Caenorhabditis elegans: one gene and its partners. The protein of the gene in region 1 interacts with the protein of each later gene in a pairwise test. Each region holds a gene or a part of one and is shown on either strand. Other genes may lie near its edges.

Region 1 (8,596 bases):
TTATCATAACAAGGAAGGAATAAATATTGAGATGAAATAAAGTAGCAATAAAAAAGAGGAACAGGATACTAGGAAACCAAATGAATTTAATTTTCGAATAGAAAAATAGTTGGGCTTGCTGAAAAGAGCAACCCCTATTATTTTTCAATGAAAACTTTGATAAATTTAACGAAAAAAAAAACAACGAAATTTTCGAGGCCCCACGAAAAGGGGATCTGCAAAAAGTGGATTTGCGAAAAGGTAATCTACCAAAAGGGGATCCTGGCACAACGCAATTTTTCATGAAGAAAACGATACAACAAAGCACAGATATTACGCATCGCGATATACGTATCCCCTTTTCGTATGGCCTCAGATTTGCGCTTAATTATCATCAAGGAAGAAGAATTGTCCGCTCTTCTTTTGGTCAACATCCTTCACCGAGTCGAGTTTATTGATGCGTGGGCGATATGTTTCCTGATCACGACGGAAAGTGATATCCAACATTTTCAAGAATCGATTCATTCCTTCCAGCAGGGATTGGGGTCTGAAAAATCAATGATTTTTATTTTGGTTTAATTTTAAAAAAATACAGAAAAAAAACGTAATACGCCAGTGGAGAAATTACTTTAAAACACGCCTATGGTACCACAATTACCGAATATCATGATTAAAAAATTCAAAAAAAATTTCTAGATTTTATATGATTTTTTAAAAATTGGAAAAATCACAGTTTTCATCCAATTATTTTTGAATTTCCGCCAATTGGATTTGTTCGATGGAGCGCACTTGCATTATTTTTATTAATTAATTTAATTTATTCTCGTTATTTCACTGATTTTCTTCATTTTCTATGTTTTTTAATACGAAAATAAAAGAAATAATTAAGACAAATGCAAAATGTTTGTTAAAAAGTATTTCAAAATGGGTAAAACTGTGAAATATACTAATTTCAGACTTGTTGCCGTCGGAACTCAATATATCACAGTTTTACGCATTTTCAATTACTTTTTAACGAATTTAAGTTTTTGTTTTAAAAAAATTAGATTTTTTATTTTATACAAATTTTTGGCCAAATTTGGATTTTTGTTGGTTTATTCTAAAGATAGTTTTTTTTTAAAATAAGTTTTTAAAATTAATTTTTCTTGACCAAAATTGGATTTTTGGCAAAAAATGGATTTGTCGGTTTTTTTAAAATTTTTCGACAAGAAATGTATTTTTTTTTGGTTTTTTAAAAATTATTGTTTGGCAAAAATCGTAGTTTTGTTTTGACAAAAATTAGATGTTTTGTTTTTTTTTTGGGAAAAAATCGTTTATGTTTGTTGGTTTTTTGAATAATTGTTTGTCAGAAAAAGTTTTTTTTTTGGATTATAAGAAATCTTTTTTTAGCGAAAAATTGAATTTGTTGGTATTATATTAAGGTGTTTTGCGATTTTTTAGGCGAAAAAATGGTGTTTTTTGATTTTTGTTAAATTTTTTGGCAAAAAATTAGATTTTTTGGTTTTTTTTTAAATTTTCATTTGTCTTGTTTATTTCTTCCTTTTTCCGAGGAAAAAACATAGAAAATGAAGAAAATCAGTCAAATAACGAGAATAAATAAAATTAATTGAAATTAATTAATAAAAACAATGCAAGCGCGCTCCATCGAACAAATCAAATTAGCAGGAAATTCAAAAATAATTAGGTGAAAACTGTGATTTTTCCAATTTTCAAAAAATCATATAAAATCTAGAAATTTTTTTTTTGAATTTTTTAACCATGATGGTCATTGTGACCCCATAGGCATGTTTTAAATTTTTTTGACAAATTATTACCGTATTTCTTTTATTAATATGGCTGCAATACTATTTTTCGATGGTCTTCCCGCTTGCAATACTATTAGGGAGTGCAATACTAATTTTCAGAACATTTTTCTGACTTTGAGCTTACTATTTTTGTTCTGAAAAAACTCGAATCTTATGTAAAAATTCAGAAAATTTGATTGAAATTGCAACAAAAAAGTTCAATAACTTCAATCTTATAAAAATTTTCACGAAAATTATTGAAAACGACGCAGAAAATGTTGTTAAAATATTAAATTTAGTGAGGCGCGGGTTTGCACCGAAAAAAAGTAGAGACGCAAGACTATTAGGGAGTGCAACACTAAAAGGGAGTGCAATACTAATTTTCGGAGGGTGTTCAAGGTGCAATACTAATAGGGAGTGCAAGTCTAATAGGGAGGCCATACTAATAGAAGAAATACGGTATACAGTGCATTTTTTTTTTCAACTTCTTCGACTTTAAAGGCGCGCGCATTTTCGAGCAATGGTCTCGCCACGCGCATCCCATTGATTTGTTGAGCGCGTGGCGAGACCAATGACGAGACCATTTTGTATAAATGCGCGCGTCTTTAAAGTTGTAGAATGGGGAAAAAATGCACTGTATTTCTCACTAATAAACAATAAACTCACTTGCAAGCCGTACACTTGACCGACGGTTGACCTTCGAAAACGACGACTCTGTCGGCCAAATAGGTAGCCATAATGAAATCGTGCTCGACAACAAACGCCGTCTTCTTGGCATGCATAATGAATCTTTTGATCACTTTTGCCGCGTGAAGACGTTGCTCCGAATCCAGGTAAGCTGATGGCTCATCGATAAGGTACAAACTGGCGGTTTTTCCGAGGCAAAGGGCAAGAGCGACACGTTGTAATTCTCCTCCCGAAAGTTCTTTCACCTGTAATTGAGTTTGGTCAGGTTTAAAAAAAATTAAATCTTCGTTTTTCTATAAAAAATTTGCAAAAATTGGATTATTTTGTAAACTTTTTGACAAAAAAAGAAAACATTTTGGTTTTTAAAAGTATTCTGGCTCTAATGGATATTTTTTTTCGGATTTTTTGGTTTTTAAAATTATTTTTTGGCAAAAACTTGATTTTATAATTAACAAAAAACTTTTTTTTTTTGTTTCCTAATAATTATTTGGCAAAAATTATTACAGGAGCACAAAATTCTGAGAATGCGTATTGAGCAACATATTTGAAACGCAAAATATCTCGTAGCGAAAACTACAGTAATCCTGTTTAAATGACTACTGTAGTGCTTGTGTCAATTTACGGCGTTTCGAAAATCATCGAGCCCTTAAATCGACACCAGCGCTACTGTAGTCATTTAAACTGGATTACTGTAGTTCTCCCTTCGAGATATTTTGCGCGTCAAATATGTTGCTCAATACGCATTCTCAGAATTTTGTGTACACATAATAGATTTTCCCAAACAAATTTTGCCAAAAAGTTTCCAAAATAATCCAATTTTTGCGAATTTATTACGGAAAAACGAAAAAAAATTTTTTTTTTTCAAAAATTGGATTTTTTCGGTTCCTAATAAAATTTGTTAGAAAAAATATTGGATTTTTTGGTTTTTTTTTAAATTTTTCAGACCAAAAACTGTCTTTCCAAAAGTTTTAGTGGTGAGAACGATTTTCAAAGCTGAAATTTTCAGTATTTTTCGATTTTTAGTGGCAATTCTGAATTCTGAAGATCAATTAGCACATTTTGAAGCAAAATCGCAAAATCCCCATTCACGATTCTTCAAAAACTCTCACATTTCGATCCAACAACTGTTCCATCATCAACGGATTCATCACATCCGTCTTGAATTGTGGATGCTCGTACATGTTCTGAATCTTATCGTGAAGCATGAAGCGTACAGTAGTCTCAGATTTCGGTGAGATCTTCTGCGGCTTGTACGAGATGCTGACGTGCGGGAGCTCAGTGTTCTCATCTTCAGGCTTCAACGATCCAGCCATCATCTTGATCATCGTCGTCTTTCCTGTACCGTTTTCTCCGAGCATCACGATGATTTCCGAGTCGGAAAAGTCGCCGGCTTCAACGTCCAAATGGAAGTTCCCAAGCGTTTTTGACATTGACGGGTACTTAATATTTCCAGTTCTCTTGATATCCTCCTGCTGCTCCGATGTCTTGAAAGAGAGCTTTGACTCTCTGAATCTCATATTTTCAGTCCGAATGAATCCTTCCAAGAACATGTTGATACCTTCACGAACACCAGATGGCAGAGTAACAACTCCATAAACTCCAGGAACTCCGTACAAGCAGCAAATGAAATCAGATAAATAATCGAGAACTGCCAAGTCGTGTTCAACAACTACAACATAGTTCGTATCACTGACACGCTCGCGGATGATCGCGGCAGCCTTCAGACGTTGCTTGACATCAAGGTAAGAGGATGGTTCATCGAACATGTAGACGTCGGCTTTTTGAACACAGCACATTGCGATCGCGAAACGTTGGAGTTCTCCGCCGGAGAGTTGGTCGATTTCACGATCCAGAAGGCCACGAAGCTCTGAAAAATACATGGTTTTTTTATTTTTTTACATTTTTTACATTTTTTACATTTTTTTACATGGTATATTATTACGGCAAAAAAAATTTGAAAATTTTTTTTTTCGGTTTTTTGAAAATAGCTCAAAAATTCGCCCATTTTCTTAATTTTCGAAAAAAAAAATTTGAGGCACCACGTTTTCAAGATCTGTTCAAAAACAAGATCTACGTTTTCAGAATCTGGCACCGTGCCAGCTGCGGCTTTCTCGGTGAAAACCGAAACAACGATGCTCCGATGTTACGCGTCGCGTGTTGTTTAGCGTTCAGAAAAATATTTTTTTGAAATTTTCATCTAGAAGATACGCTTAACAACACACGACTCGTAACATCGGAGCATCGTTGTTTCGTTTTTCATCGAGAAAACCGCAGTTAGCACGGTGCCAGATTCTGAAAACGTAGATCTTGTTTTCGTAGATCTTGTTTTTGAACAGATCTTGAAAACGTGGTGCCTCTACATTACAAGTAAAAACATTATTTTATTTAAAAAATCTACAAAAAAAACCGTGCCGCAGGGTTGCGAACTGACGCTCCGCCTATTTTTCTGTGCGACGCTCCGTTCTTTGCAAAATTCAGACGGAAATTGATTTTAAAAATTTGCATGGTTCAAATTACTACGGTAAAATTTTTGTTTTTCTCGAAAATCGCTTAAAAATTCGCCCATTTTTCTTAATTTTCGAAAAAAAAAATGACAAAATGGGGATTTTGGGTGTTTTTTAAAAAATTTTTTTTGATAAAAACTTAAATTTTTAGTTATTTTTGGCAAAAATTGGATTCATTGGTTTTTTAAAAAAACATTTTTTCAGACCAAAAAGCTGTTAATTTTCAGTGGGGAGAAGAAAAAATTCCATTTTTTTTCTAGTTTTTGGAGAGATTTGATTTTAGAAGCTTTGAAAATATTTTTTTTTTAATTGTCTTGATTTTTCTCTGAAAAATTGGCCTCCAAACGACAAATTTTTGTTTAATGCAAAAAGGCGTGCGCCTTTAAAGAGTACTGTAGCTTCAAAATTTTGATGGTGCGGACGTTTTTAAATCGATTTTTATAGTACTGTTGAAATTAAACGGCCGATCCGTGCGAATTTTGCAAAAAAAATGCTGCGTCGCACAGAAAAAGAGGCGGAGCGTCATTTTGCAACCTTGCGGCACGGTTTTTTGGTGATTTTTTTAAAAACAAAATATTAATTTTACATGTTTTTTGTTGCGAAACATGGATATTTTTTAAATCAAATTTCTTCGTTTTTAGCGAATTTCGGCGTTTTCGTTTCAATTTTTCTCAGGAAAATCACTCATTTTTCAGTTTTTCACCGAAAAATAGTGAAAAAAACGACTTAAACGTAAAATTTTCGCTGAAAAATACGAATCCCAGCCAATTTTCCGCCGAAAAAACCTACCCATTTGATCAATAACCGAGTTCAAATTGTCATTATCGTGCTTTCGGGTCAAATTTTTCTCAACAGTTCCCTTGGCAGCTCTTGGAATCTGATCGACATATTGTGGCTTGATGACACACTTCAAAGTATCCTCCAAAATTCGCGTAAAGTAATTCTGGAGTTCTGAACCTCGAAAATGGTTGATAATAGTCGTCCACTCTTGCTCTTTTTGGAAATTTCCCAAATTTGGCTTCTGTTTTCCGGCCAGAATTTTCAGTGCCGTCGATTTTCCGATTCCATTTGTTCCGACGAGTCCGAGGACTTCTCCACAGCGAGGAGTTGGCAGGCGATGCAACTTGAAGGAATTCTGCGAGTAACGATGAGTGGTCTCATTTGCCAGATTTGCTGGGAGATTGATGATTTTGATTGCGTCATATGGGCACTTCTTCACGCAGATACCACATCCAATGCACAAGATTTCGGAAATTTGAGAAATCGTGGAAGTTGCCTCGACGACAATACACTGTTTTCCTGGATATTTGTTGCAATTATTTGTGAAAAAGAAACCGAGGATTTAAATACCTTGTCTGTTCACTGGGCAAGCTCTTTTGCACGCCAGACCACAATTTTTCGGCTTGCAGCGATCTTTTTCCACAATAGCAATACGCAGTGGCACGTCCGTCTCGTTGTTTTTTATTAATGGGCCTTTTCGACTCATTTTTCGTTCGTTTTACCTGAAAAACGCGATGAAATTGAATAAGAAACGTGTTTTTTAGGCAAAAATTGTTAGAAAATTCATATTTTAGAGGAAATTTCTTAAATTAGAGCGCGCTGGTTTAAAGGGACATAGCATGGGTCTCGCCGCCTTTTTTGTTCGTTTTACCTCAAAAATCAATGAAATTGGATGGAAAACGTGGTTTTTAGCACGGAAACAAGCTAGAAAATCAATAATTTCACCGAAAAACTCAAAAAAATGCTCAAGCAGAAATAACTCGAAATTCCCGATATTTTGGGTCGTTTTTTCAAGTCCTAACCATTGAAAAAGGCAAAAAAAAAATTTTTTCAGCGAAAATTCATAAATTCAAGTAAAACAGCAGGTTTTGCATAGTTAATGTTCGATTTTTCAACAGAAAATATATGAAAAATGCTTGAAACATCTAGAATACATGGAAAATAGGAAAAAAAAACAAAAAAAAATTTGATAGAAAACGTGTCTTTTTAGCAGGAAATTGACGTGGCAAGCTAGAAAATCAACAATTTCACCGAAAATTTATCGAAAAACGTAGAGAAATTGCTAAAATTTGCGGAGACCGCCTCTTGAGTGCCCCCGATTATCGCAATATTCCACAATGTTGTGCAATTATAAAAAACAAGCTATATAAGCCTCAAATAGGCAGAAATAACTCGTTTTAAGTGAGATTTCAACAATTTCAAGTGCAATTTTAAAAATTCCCAATATTTTTGGTAATTTTTTTAGTTGAGAAAAGGCAATTTTCGACGGAAAATCATAAATTAAGGTAAAACTTTAGATTTTACATAATTAAAGTCTGAGTTTTCAACAAAAAACAAATAAAAAATTGCCTAAAAACCCTAGAAAACCAGAAAAATAGGCTGAAAAGCTACATGTGGCGTGTAAAAATACTGAAAAAAAAAGAGTACAGTGGAGCGCGCTTGCTTCGCGGCTTCTCTGCGTCTCTCGATTTCGCATAGTCTCTCCATGTCGCCATGACGAAGAAGTGCTCGGCTGAACATTAATTTTTCCAATTTTCTACTATTTTTCTGATTTATTGATCTCAAAATGAGGTAATTTTTTATTTTTTTAATTTAAAATTCGCAAAATTTATCGATAATTCATTAAATTTTCAACCTTCCAGCAACGAAAGCAGTGAAACCATGACAAAAAAAGAGGAAGAAGCCGAAAAAAAGATTGAAATTCAAATCGAAGAGCACATTAAATTATTTGAGGATCCAACAGCGTCTTTCGAGGAGAAAATGAAGATTCTCGTGAAAGTTCCGACCGAATTACAGGTTTTTGAGTGCCCGGAGCGGTGAAAAAATGCGAAAAATCGAAAAATTCCAGCATAATCTTCTAAATCGAGAGCGCTCCGATCGGTTATTCGCCAGTATTCCAATTGAGATGTTTCAGAGGATTTTTGAGCCAATGCATGAAGAATATGCCCAGTAAGATTTGGATTTTCGGGGGAAAAATTGAATTTTTCATTTTTTTTTTGCAAGAAAAACGCAATTTTTGAGTTTAAAATGCAAAAATGTATCGATTTTCACTTAAAAAATGGTAAATATAGATCATTTTTAATGTTAAAACCGCGCAAATAAGCTCCTAAAACAAGAATTTCTGCCAAAAACTGTAAAACTTGTAGTACGAAATCCTAAAAACCGTTTTAAAGATTTTTGATCATTTTTCTGTGTATTTAATGACTAATAATTGCAATTTTTCATATAAAAATCGATTAAAACGACAAATTATCCGGTTACCGCAATGACTTTTATCAATTTTTTTTTAATTTCCAATTTTTCATCGGAGAGAAAACGCGCTCCATTGCAATCCTCCGAAAAAGTTCGCAATAGAGCGCGATTGCAGAAAATCTGAAAAAAATACAGTTTTTGGCAAAAAAAAACCCGAAAATTTAAGCTAATAAACTGCGAAAAATGGAAATTACTACGAGTTTTCAAAAAAAAAAAATTTTTTTTTCAATTTCTTAAAAAATTCTTTAAAAATTTTCCAAAAAAAAATTTCCAAGAAAAAATTTTTTTTCCAGCGCTCGACCAATTCTCATCCACATTCTGTCGTTCCTATGCCAATGCACATCTCCAGAAGTTCATTTAAAATTCAAAATTCTCATGGAAAATGTGATA
Region 2 (4,490 bases), on another chromosome or scaffold:
TTTGTTTTAGCCTTCGCCATATGCTTTCCTAGTACTAACAATCGGTTTTCGGCGTATAAGGTATTTAGATTATTTTTCTAGAAATTAAAATCTAGACGTGCTTTTCACAACTTGTCACAACAATTTTTCATTTTCAGTGTCTCCTAGTGGCCATCAACATTGCCGGTGTTCTTATCGTTTCTCATTATATTCCATCATTTCTTGGAGCACTTTTTGCTCAGATGTCTGCTCTTGCTTATGCAGTTTATCTTTTTGCATTTGGCCATTTTGAGGAAAAATATGGAAAACTGGATATTAATTTGATGTTTGGAGCAATCGGAGTCATCGCTTTGGTTCTTGGAACACCTACATTAAATTTGTTGGATAGATTTGGTGTAGAACCATTACATCCACTTCCAAATGCTACACAGTTCTCGTCAATTTTATTTTCTGCGCTCATTGGTGAGATTTATTGTATTAATGAGTATTTTTAATATTAATTTTTTTTTTAATTTCAGGAACAATTGTCGCTGATTACCTTTGGCTTCTTGCCGCTGGAATGTGTGATTCTCTCACCACCTGCCTATCAATGACTGTAAGCATTCCTCTGTCATTCCTCGCCGATACAGTGATTCGAAGCAAAGCTCCAACACTGGCACAAGTTATTGCATCGATTCCGATCCTCGTGGCATTCGTTGGCGCTGCATATGCACAAAATCCGTCAACTTCAATACGAAAAGGGCTTTCAAAACGAGTACGAAAAGTGGAATCATTATCGCCGGACAATGAACATCTTATGGATAGTCTATCGGACGAGTAGCATCTCTCTTAGAAACATTGTTTAAACTCTCTCAGAATCTCTATTTTCTCTTGTTCTACTGGTCGCTTTATAGGCATTCGAAGGTTGTGACACACTCCCCTCTGATCAACTAGTCATATTTAATTTTTTTTGCACTGTATTAAATTCGGGAAAAATAAATGTTTGAAGAAATATCGTTTTATGTTACTTTTATAAACTTGATATTTATCAGACAATTCAGATCGTTCAGTAAATCGGAAGTGAAAATTAATACAGCGTTGGCTTTTTGGTTTTGTGATCAACCCGGCATATTACTAGTAATTTAACGATTAATATTAAAATTATGCCACAAAGCGAGCTTTGGTGTCTTGTCCTGGAACATCAATGAATATTCCTCTTGCAGATGACTCAAAAATCTTGACATTCGCTTTACGCTTTCCATGTTGTTCCTGATCGAATGAATCCAATTCCGGAGTGTAACGGTTTTTGGGATAGTAGCGAGCTAGAGTGTTGTAGGCGGATTTCGGAGTCTGAAAATAAAATGATTGTTTTTAATTTCAAAATAAATTATCAACTTACCAAACTAATTTCCTTTCCAATGACCGTCCCAACTGGAAGATCAGTAAGTTTCACAGATGCCAGACAATTTGAGCGCATACACTCCAGAACCATCATACGATCGGGACGTCCTGGATCAACAACTCGAAGCATTCGGCATCCACAATGAGAGCATTGTTCTTCTGAAAACATACTGGTGTTCGAATCATCGTCCATTTTTCTTTTCGCATTTCTTCGAAATCCTGATGATTCAACTGACGATGTCGACGGTGTTGTGGAAATTATCTCACCTGAAAACTCAATTATTTAACAAAACATATTATTGTAAAACACATACCAACTGTTTCAACGTCGTTCAATTTTCTCAGCGTATCCTCATTTACACGGAAATTTTTCATCTGTGCCGCTTTCCGCAATAATTCCATTCGCTTGTAGTCGATTTTCACGAGAGGAAAGAATGTTGATGTAGAAGACAGCATCTATCCCAAACACTTATGTATTGAAACAAGTAAAAACACAATTAAACTATTTGAAAACGTTTTTAAGCAAGAAAATGGAAGGATCGGGTTTGAAATCAGCGGATACCGCGCCCTCGTAAATTGACACAAGTTGCCTGCCGACATTTCGTCTCATCGCGGCGAGACCCCGACGTTGGATACTCAGCCAATACCCTAATTTTTGCCTCCCTTTAAACACGATTTCCCTGTTTTCTGAAATTTTTTAGGAACTTTTTTCGTTTTTTCAATATAAAAAAGATTTTCGGTGATATTTTCACATTTGGAATGTATTAAAATAAGGTTTTGAATATCCTAAGCCTGTTTCGGTCGAAAAATCTGAATATTGCCTAAAATATCATCATTTTTTCTTTACTCTTCTCGCATTTTTTGAATCATTTTCTTTTAAAATTAATCTATTTTTTACTATTTCTGTTGATTGCAGGTAATAATGGCGGCCAGACCGCTCGTGACTGTGTACGATGAAAAGTACGAGGCCACTCAATCTCAAATCCGGCTCCCAGCCGTTTTCCGTACTCCAATCCGCCCAGACTTGGTGAGCTTCATCGCCGATCAGGTCCGCAGAAACAGAAGACAGGCCCATGCCGTTAACACCAAGGCCGGTAAGTGACATAATTAGATTCGGTTATTGATTATTTTAATTTCAAACTAACTTCTGTGTTCCTCAATTACTATTTATTTCAGGAAAGCAACACTCTGCTGAGTCCTGGGGAACTGGACGTGCCGTTGCCCGTATTCCACGTGTTCGCGGAGGAGGTACCCACCGTTCCGGACAGGGAGCTTTCGGAAATATGTGCCGTGGAGGACACATGTTCGCCCCACTCAAGGTGTTCCGCCGCTGGCACCGCAACGTCAACATTGCCCAGAAGAGATACGCTGTTTCCTCAGCTATTGCTGCCTCCGGAATCCCAGCTCTTCTCCAAGCTCGTGGACACGTCATCGATCAAGTAAGTAAACTTTTTTAAAAGTTTTGTTCCTATTTACAGTACTATTTTTTAGGTCGCTGAGGTCCCACTTGTTGTTTCCGACAAGGTCGAAAGCTTCCGCAAGACCAAGGAGGCCGTCGTCTTCCTCCGTCGCTCCCACTTGTGGGCTGATATCGAGAAGGTATACCATTTAAAAAAATTAAATTTGTTTTTAACGTAACAGTTTTAAGGTTTACAACTCGAAGAGAAACCGCGCCGGAAAGGGAAAGCTCCGCAACCGTCAACACAAGCAGAAGCTCGGACCAGTTGTTATCTACGGACAAGATGCTGAGTGCGCTCGTGCCTTCCGCAACATCCCAGGAGTCGATGTCATGAATGTTGAGAGACTCAACCTTCTCAAGCTCGCCCCAGGAGGACATCTCGGACGTCTTATCATCTGGACCGAGTCTGCCTTCAAGAAGCTTGATACCATCTACGGAACCACCGTTGCCAACTCTTCTCAACTCAAGAAGGGATGGTCTGTCCCACTCCCAATCATGGCCAACTCCGACTTCTCCCGCATCATCCGTTCCGAAGAGGTCGTTAAGGCTATCAGAGCTCCAAAGAAGAACCCAGTGCTTCCAAAGGTCCACCGCAACCCACTCAAGAAGAGAACCCTCTTGTACAAGTTGAACCCATATGCTTCTATCCTCCGCAAGGCTTCAAAGGCCAACGTGAAGAAATAAGTATTCTGTTGTTGATAAACTTTTTTGTTAATAACCGATTTAATTTGTTGAACGCATTGTTTAAATTTCCAGAACGATTTACTTTGACAACAGATTTATTTCAAAAATAATTTAAATATGATCATAAGCTGAGCTGCTAGGGTTATCACATTTCCGAAACGATTTGATGTTCCGATCTATGCGCTGTAAAATATCTTTCATAGATTTTTCTTCTCGGCTACTGTCGACCCGTTCAGTAGTGGCAGGCACAATTTTGCATTGAGTTTCTTGCAAAGATGGTTTGAGATTAGGTTGTTGTGAATTGAAAATGGGTATTCTAATGAATTGCTTCATGAACAAGGCGCTGGGAGACCAAAGCTTGTTTGCACGAACGAGAGATGAAACCTGAAATCGTACATGAACAACAGATAAGGAGAAACAAATGGAACCAACCGAACAATTATGCTTTAATGCTATTCTTTCAAGTGTATCATCGGTTTGAACTTGGTAAATTGTATATGAACATGGTGTAACTGGTGAAGATTGACTTTGGGTTGTGCCGTATCTTCGAACCTGTAGAATCACATTTTAAATGTGCTGTGAGGACCGATTAAGGATTTTGCTTTAAGTTATAGAAAATGATCGAATATAACTGTAAAATTATTTTTAATGAATTTTTCAATTTTGCAAAAAAACTAATGCAAAAACGAAAACTCGATAACCCGGAAGAAATCAAAATTTTAAAGAGAAAATCAATAAAACCATTGAATTTCGAGAGGGAATTAATAAATAATTAGTCTTTTTTTTTTGGAAAATAGGAAAATCCATTTTAAAAAGTTAGAACATTTTTGTAAATTTTTGTACAGTTATATTCCTTCATTACGGTCTATTTTCTGTCCTGTAAGATTTTTTGCGAAACTTTAGAAAATCGAAAAACGATAAATTTTGGATTTTTTGTTTTTTTTTTTTGATTTTCCGGAAAAAATCTACATACCCTATTAAAACCAAC
Region 3 (3,619 bases), on another chromosome or scaffold:
GCATGCCGCACTAATAGAGAATATACGGTAACTAAAAGTTTGTTTTGGGTTATAATTGTTTTTTTTAATTTTATTTTCAAATTTTTAAGTTTATCATGTTGTTTTTATGTTCTTTATATATTTTCTCTATATCCCTGAATACTCCACGATCTAAAAAAAGAATAAGATCATAAAAGCATGTTCATCTACGTCAATTGCAAGCCCATTAACCCAAAATATTGTGAGATATTACATACCAAGAAAATACAAGCAATATATACGTTTTTTAACGATCCTTTTTTGGTAAAAAAATGTGTCAGCAGATTACCGAGAAAATATCTACCAAACATATTTGGGATGTCTAAATGAGAAGTAACAATCTTTTGCTGATTTGCACGAGAAAGCTTAAACCCTTAACATTTTTTAAAAGCCACAGAACCAAACTAAAATAGAAATTTTCCGAGAGCTGTTGAATCTTCGTGGTTTTAAATTAATTCGAGCAGCCCAACTCGTTGCGTAGGTGTTTTGTTTTTAAACACCCACAGGAAGTTCGAAACTTTTTGATAAAGACTGATATGTATTTTATCCTTTTAAATTGAAAAATATTTTTCAATCGTGAAAATAAAACCCATAAAATCAATTCTTGATATATTGGAAAATCTTAGGTAAAAACTCTTCAAAAATAACATTTCTATCCATACCTATAATGAACACCTTCAGTTTGAATGAACATACATTTAAAGTTAATTTTTTGTTTTGAAATATATTGTTTTAACACACAAGTGCCAACAAATTTATACTAAACTATTTCCACAAATCAACGTCTTGGAATGTTAGCTTCCAAAATTTTCAGTAATTTTTCTCCAAAGACTTTTCGGTCGAGGGTCATATTTCTCAGCTTTTCTAGAAAAAAACAAGAATAAAAAACAAGCAGTAACAGGCGGTACGTCTCTCTTATTTATTTTGAAGTCTCTCATATGGTTTGGATTGGCATTGACTAACGATGAATTGATTGGGGTTGAAGAAAATTAGATTGAAAAGTTCTCTGAGTTGATTTTGTACAACTATTTGCTGACACCTGATGTCGGAACTCAATGGGCAGTTGCACAGGTTTCGTTACATTCCAATTTAAAGCATTGATTCATCATGGCCAATGTGAATTTTGCCTCTGCATCGCTTCTCTCTCCAGGCATGTGACCAAAGTAAGCCGTTGTCATCTGAATTTTGAGCTATTATTTTAAAGTCAAATATAATTAAAAATGAGACAACTCGGTCTATGCTTTTCATTTTTTGCGTCTCCTACTTCCTATACCCAAGTCATTTACTCTGTTTGGTCATTACTCACCTCGGCTATTCCAAACCAGCATGCCTTCTTGCAGCATACGCACGGCATTGCAGTTTCCTCCCCTGCGTTACACACGTTTGGCATTAGGGATGATGCAGCTCCCACTGAAAATATTTCAATAAAAAGAAAATGCAACGAGCAATAATTAATAAAAATCAGCTGATATTTTTAGGCGTAAATAATTTTTTGTTTCAATATAACTAACCTTGCGAGTTTTGGCAAGCCAGAAAGGCCACAAGCCCAACGAGAATAGTTGCTTTGATGAACGAGATCATTGTTTTTGGAGAACGAAGGTACCGAATGGAAAGCGCAACGGCTGAAGAAAAAGTAAATTTGAGGAGGTTGCTCGGAGAGCTTTATAGGACGTTGCTCTCTTTTAAGACACGCCCATTTTCCCTGGACAGCACCGCCTCCGGAGCAAAGCATGACGATATTGTAACGATGAAACGGTCGTTTGCCCGTTTCCTAATAGGGTTGGTTGAAAAATAGTGCACATGATTTTAGAGAAGTAGGGATTGAGTTGCGTGTGAACAAAGTATCAGATAAAGATAATAGTTGTATTAGACAATTATATTTATTTGTTTCTAGTTATGTTCAAAACAGTGGAACGAGTTTGTGTTAGTTGCGGAGGTGTTTAGTTAGTTAACGTAGTTCAATTTTTGAGATTAATCCACAAAATAGGAAAACGAAATTCAAAAATAAATAAAGTTGAATATTTTAAAAGTTAATGTATTCAACAATAGTTCTAATCGCATACACTAGAGAATCTCGTATCAGACAACATTATCAGCATTCAGAAGATAAAACTAGACATTGAAGATATTGAAAATTTTGAGAAGACTGGCGAATTTTGCACTTTCATTACTACATCATCTAATTTTAGGGCTTCATGACATAAAAATATTCAACTATATGAATTTGTTTCACACACTAAATTGAGAAAAAAACTAGTCCGGCTTTTTTTTAATAGTTGTTGCCAAACAATTGAACAGTTTTATTTAGTGCGTGTAAGATGTACTGTCATCATTATTCAATAAAAAATTAATTTGTTCGATAAATTCTGTAAGTCTTGACAAGTCGTATTTCGAATACAATAACTTAACTCAATGTTATAGATTTTGCACCCCAAAAGAGTTTTAAAAATTTAAAAAATTTTTCTTGTCTTTTCGAGAAGGTTTGAGCATTGTTGATGGTTTAGACAGTTTCATTATTCAAATACACATAGCTCAATTCTTTTTCCAGACTTCCAAAATCACGATAAACAAAAACTGATTGTAAGCAATTGTCACTTTTTGATAGTTTTCAATTTTCAAAGTTTAATCGATTTTGGTTTGAAAACATTTTTAAATCTAGCGTACAGTAATCTTTTCATTGGCTTGTTTGGTTTTTGTAAAATATCCTGAAATCTCCATGAAATAATTTAGTTCCGGATTTATTAAACGTCAAGAGGAACAAATTTGCACTAAAATCAAACTTCCGGGTTTATCAACAACATCCATGGAGGTTAAAAAGGTTGCTAGCAGGTGGAGCTGCGTCACAGTCATGTTTTTTGCTTTCTTGTTGTTATCCTCGTTGACGTGTGCTCTGATTGAGGATTTGATCCAGAAATAACGGATTGAAAACCTATCATTAAAATTTTTATGCATCCGGTGTGAAAAGAAGTGAAGAATAGGCGAGGGTGTTGAAAATTTTGAAATTCTCGCAAGGATGCGATTACAAATCTGGGGCTTCTTTTAGATTGGTGAAAGAAACAATATCATAAATGTTTTTTTCAAAACATTGAATACTACTACAATCGAGAAAATTTTTAGAAAAGCATTTGTTTGAATTTATAATTATTGAAAACACAATCTTCGAAATGTTTTATGTTTAGAAATGTTCTAAAAAAATTTCAAAATCAAATTCAGATAAACGTTATTCTTCAAAAATTCTTGCAAATTTTCGGTTATGACTACATACTTTAAAAGATCCAACATTGCTGCATCAACATGTGGCTTCACTACAAATGCAATAAACGAAACTATATCACTTCATGCAAAGCAATTTCTACAAAAATTGTTCGGAAACTAATTTTTTGAAAAAGAAATATGAAAATTAATAATGAATATTAATTCCCCTGAAAATCATGTTGTTTATAAATCGGGCTGCTTGCTGACCTGCAGAAAGTGACAAAGCTTGAGATGACATGTCGTACATAAAGACTATTCCACCAAAACAACAAAACATAAAAAGCTTAATAAAACAATTTCACGGACGGATTCGGCACGTGTTTTCAAAATAACAGACTCACAAAAT

What was found.
Region 2: the proteins of abce-1 (region 1) and rpl-4 interact in a two-hybrid assay, tested with the Caenorhabditis elegans proteins (one large-scale study listed by BioGRID).
Region 3: the proteins of abce-1 (region 1) and nssp-86 interact in a two-hybrid assay, tested with the Caenorhabditis elegans proteins (one large-scale study listed by BioGRID).

Annotation. Positions count from the first base shown.
Region 1 is NC_003281.10:13,151,677-13,160,272, reverse strand, and holds the start of abce-1 (ABC transporter, class E), read right to left. Parts: upstream 6,457-8,596; 5' UTR 6,441-6,456; coding exon 6,305-6,440; intron 6,254-6,304; coding exon 5,744-6,253; intron 4,318-5,743; coding exon 3,560-4,317; intron 2,696-3,559; coding exon 2,430-2,695; intron 527-2,429; coding exon 364-526; 3' UTR 1-363. Other genes in the region: Y39E4B.10 (NR LBD domain-containing protein), read left to right, coding at 7,521-7,525, 7,597-7,750, 7,803-7,903, 8,500-8,596.
Region 2 is NC_003279.8:4,644,749-4,649,238, reverse strand, and holds rpl-4 (Large ribosomal subunit protein uL4), read left to right. Parts: upstream 1-2,275; 5' UTR 2,276-2,281; coding exon 2,282-2,453; intron 2,454-2,459; exon of another isoform or gene 2,460-2,513; intron 2,514-2,535; coding exon 2,536-2,798; intron 2,799-2,850; coding exon 2,851-2,958; intron 2,959-3,007; coding exon 3,008-3,502; 3' UTR 3,503-3,577; downstream 3,578-4,490. Other genes in the region: B0041.5 (Solute carrier family 35 member F5), read left to right, coding at 1-60, 138-441, 498-799; B0041.8 (Plus3 domain-containing protein), read right to left, coding at 1,120-1,308, 1,358-1,626, 1,674-1,815; lmd-2 (LysM domain-containing protein), read right to left, coding at 3,614-3,886, 3,935-4,054, 4,476-4,490.
Region 3 is NC_003284.9:9,521,575-9,525,193, forward strand, and holds nssp-86 (neuronal small secreted protein), read right to left. Parts: upstream 1,645-3,619; 5' UTR 1,600-1,644; coding exon 1,530-1,599; intron 1,429-1,529; coding exon 1,325-1,428; intron 1,197-1,324; coding exon 1,071-1,196; 3' UTR 914-1,070; downstream 1-913.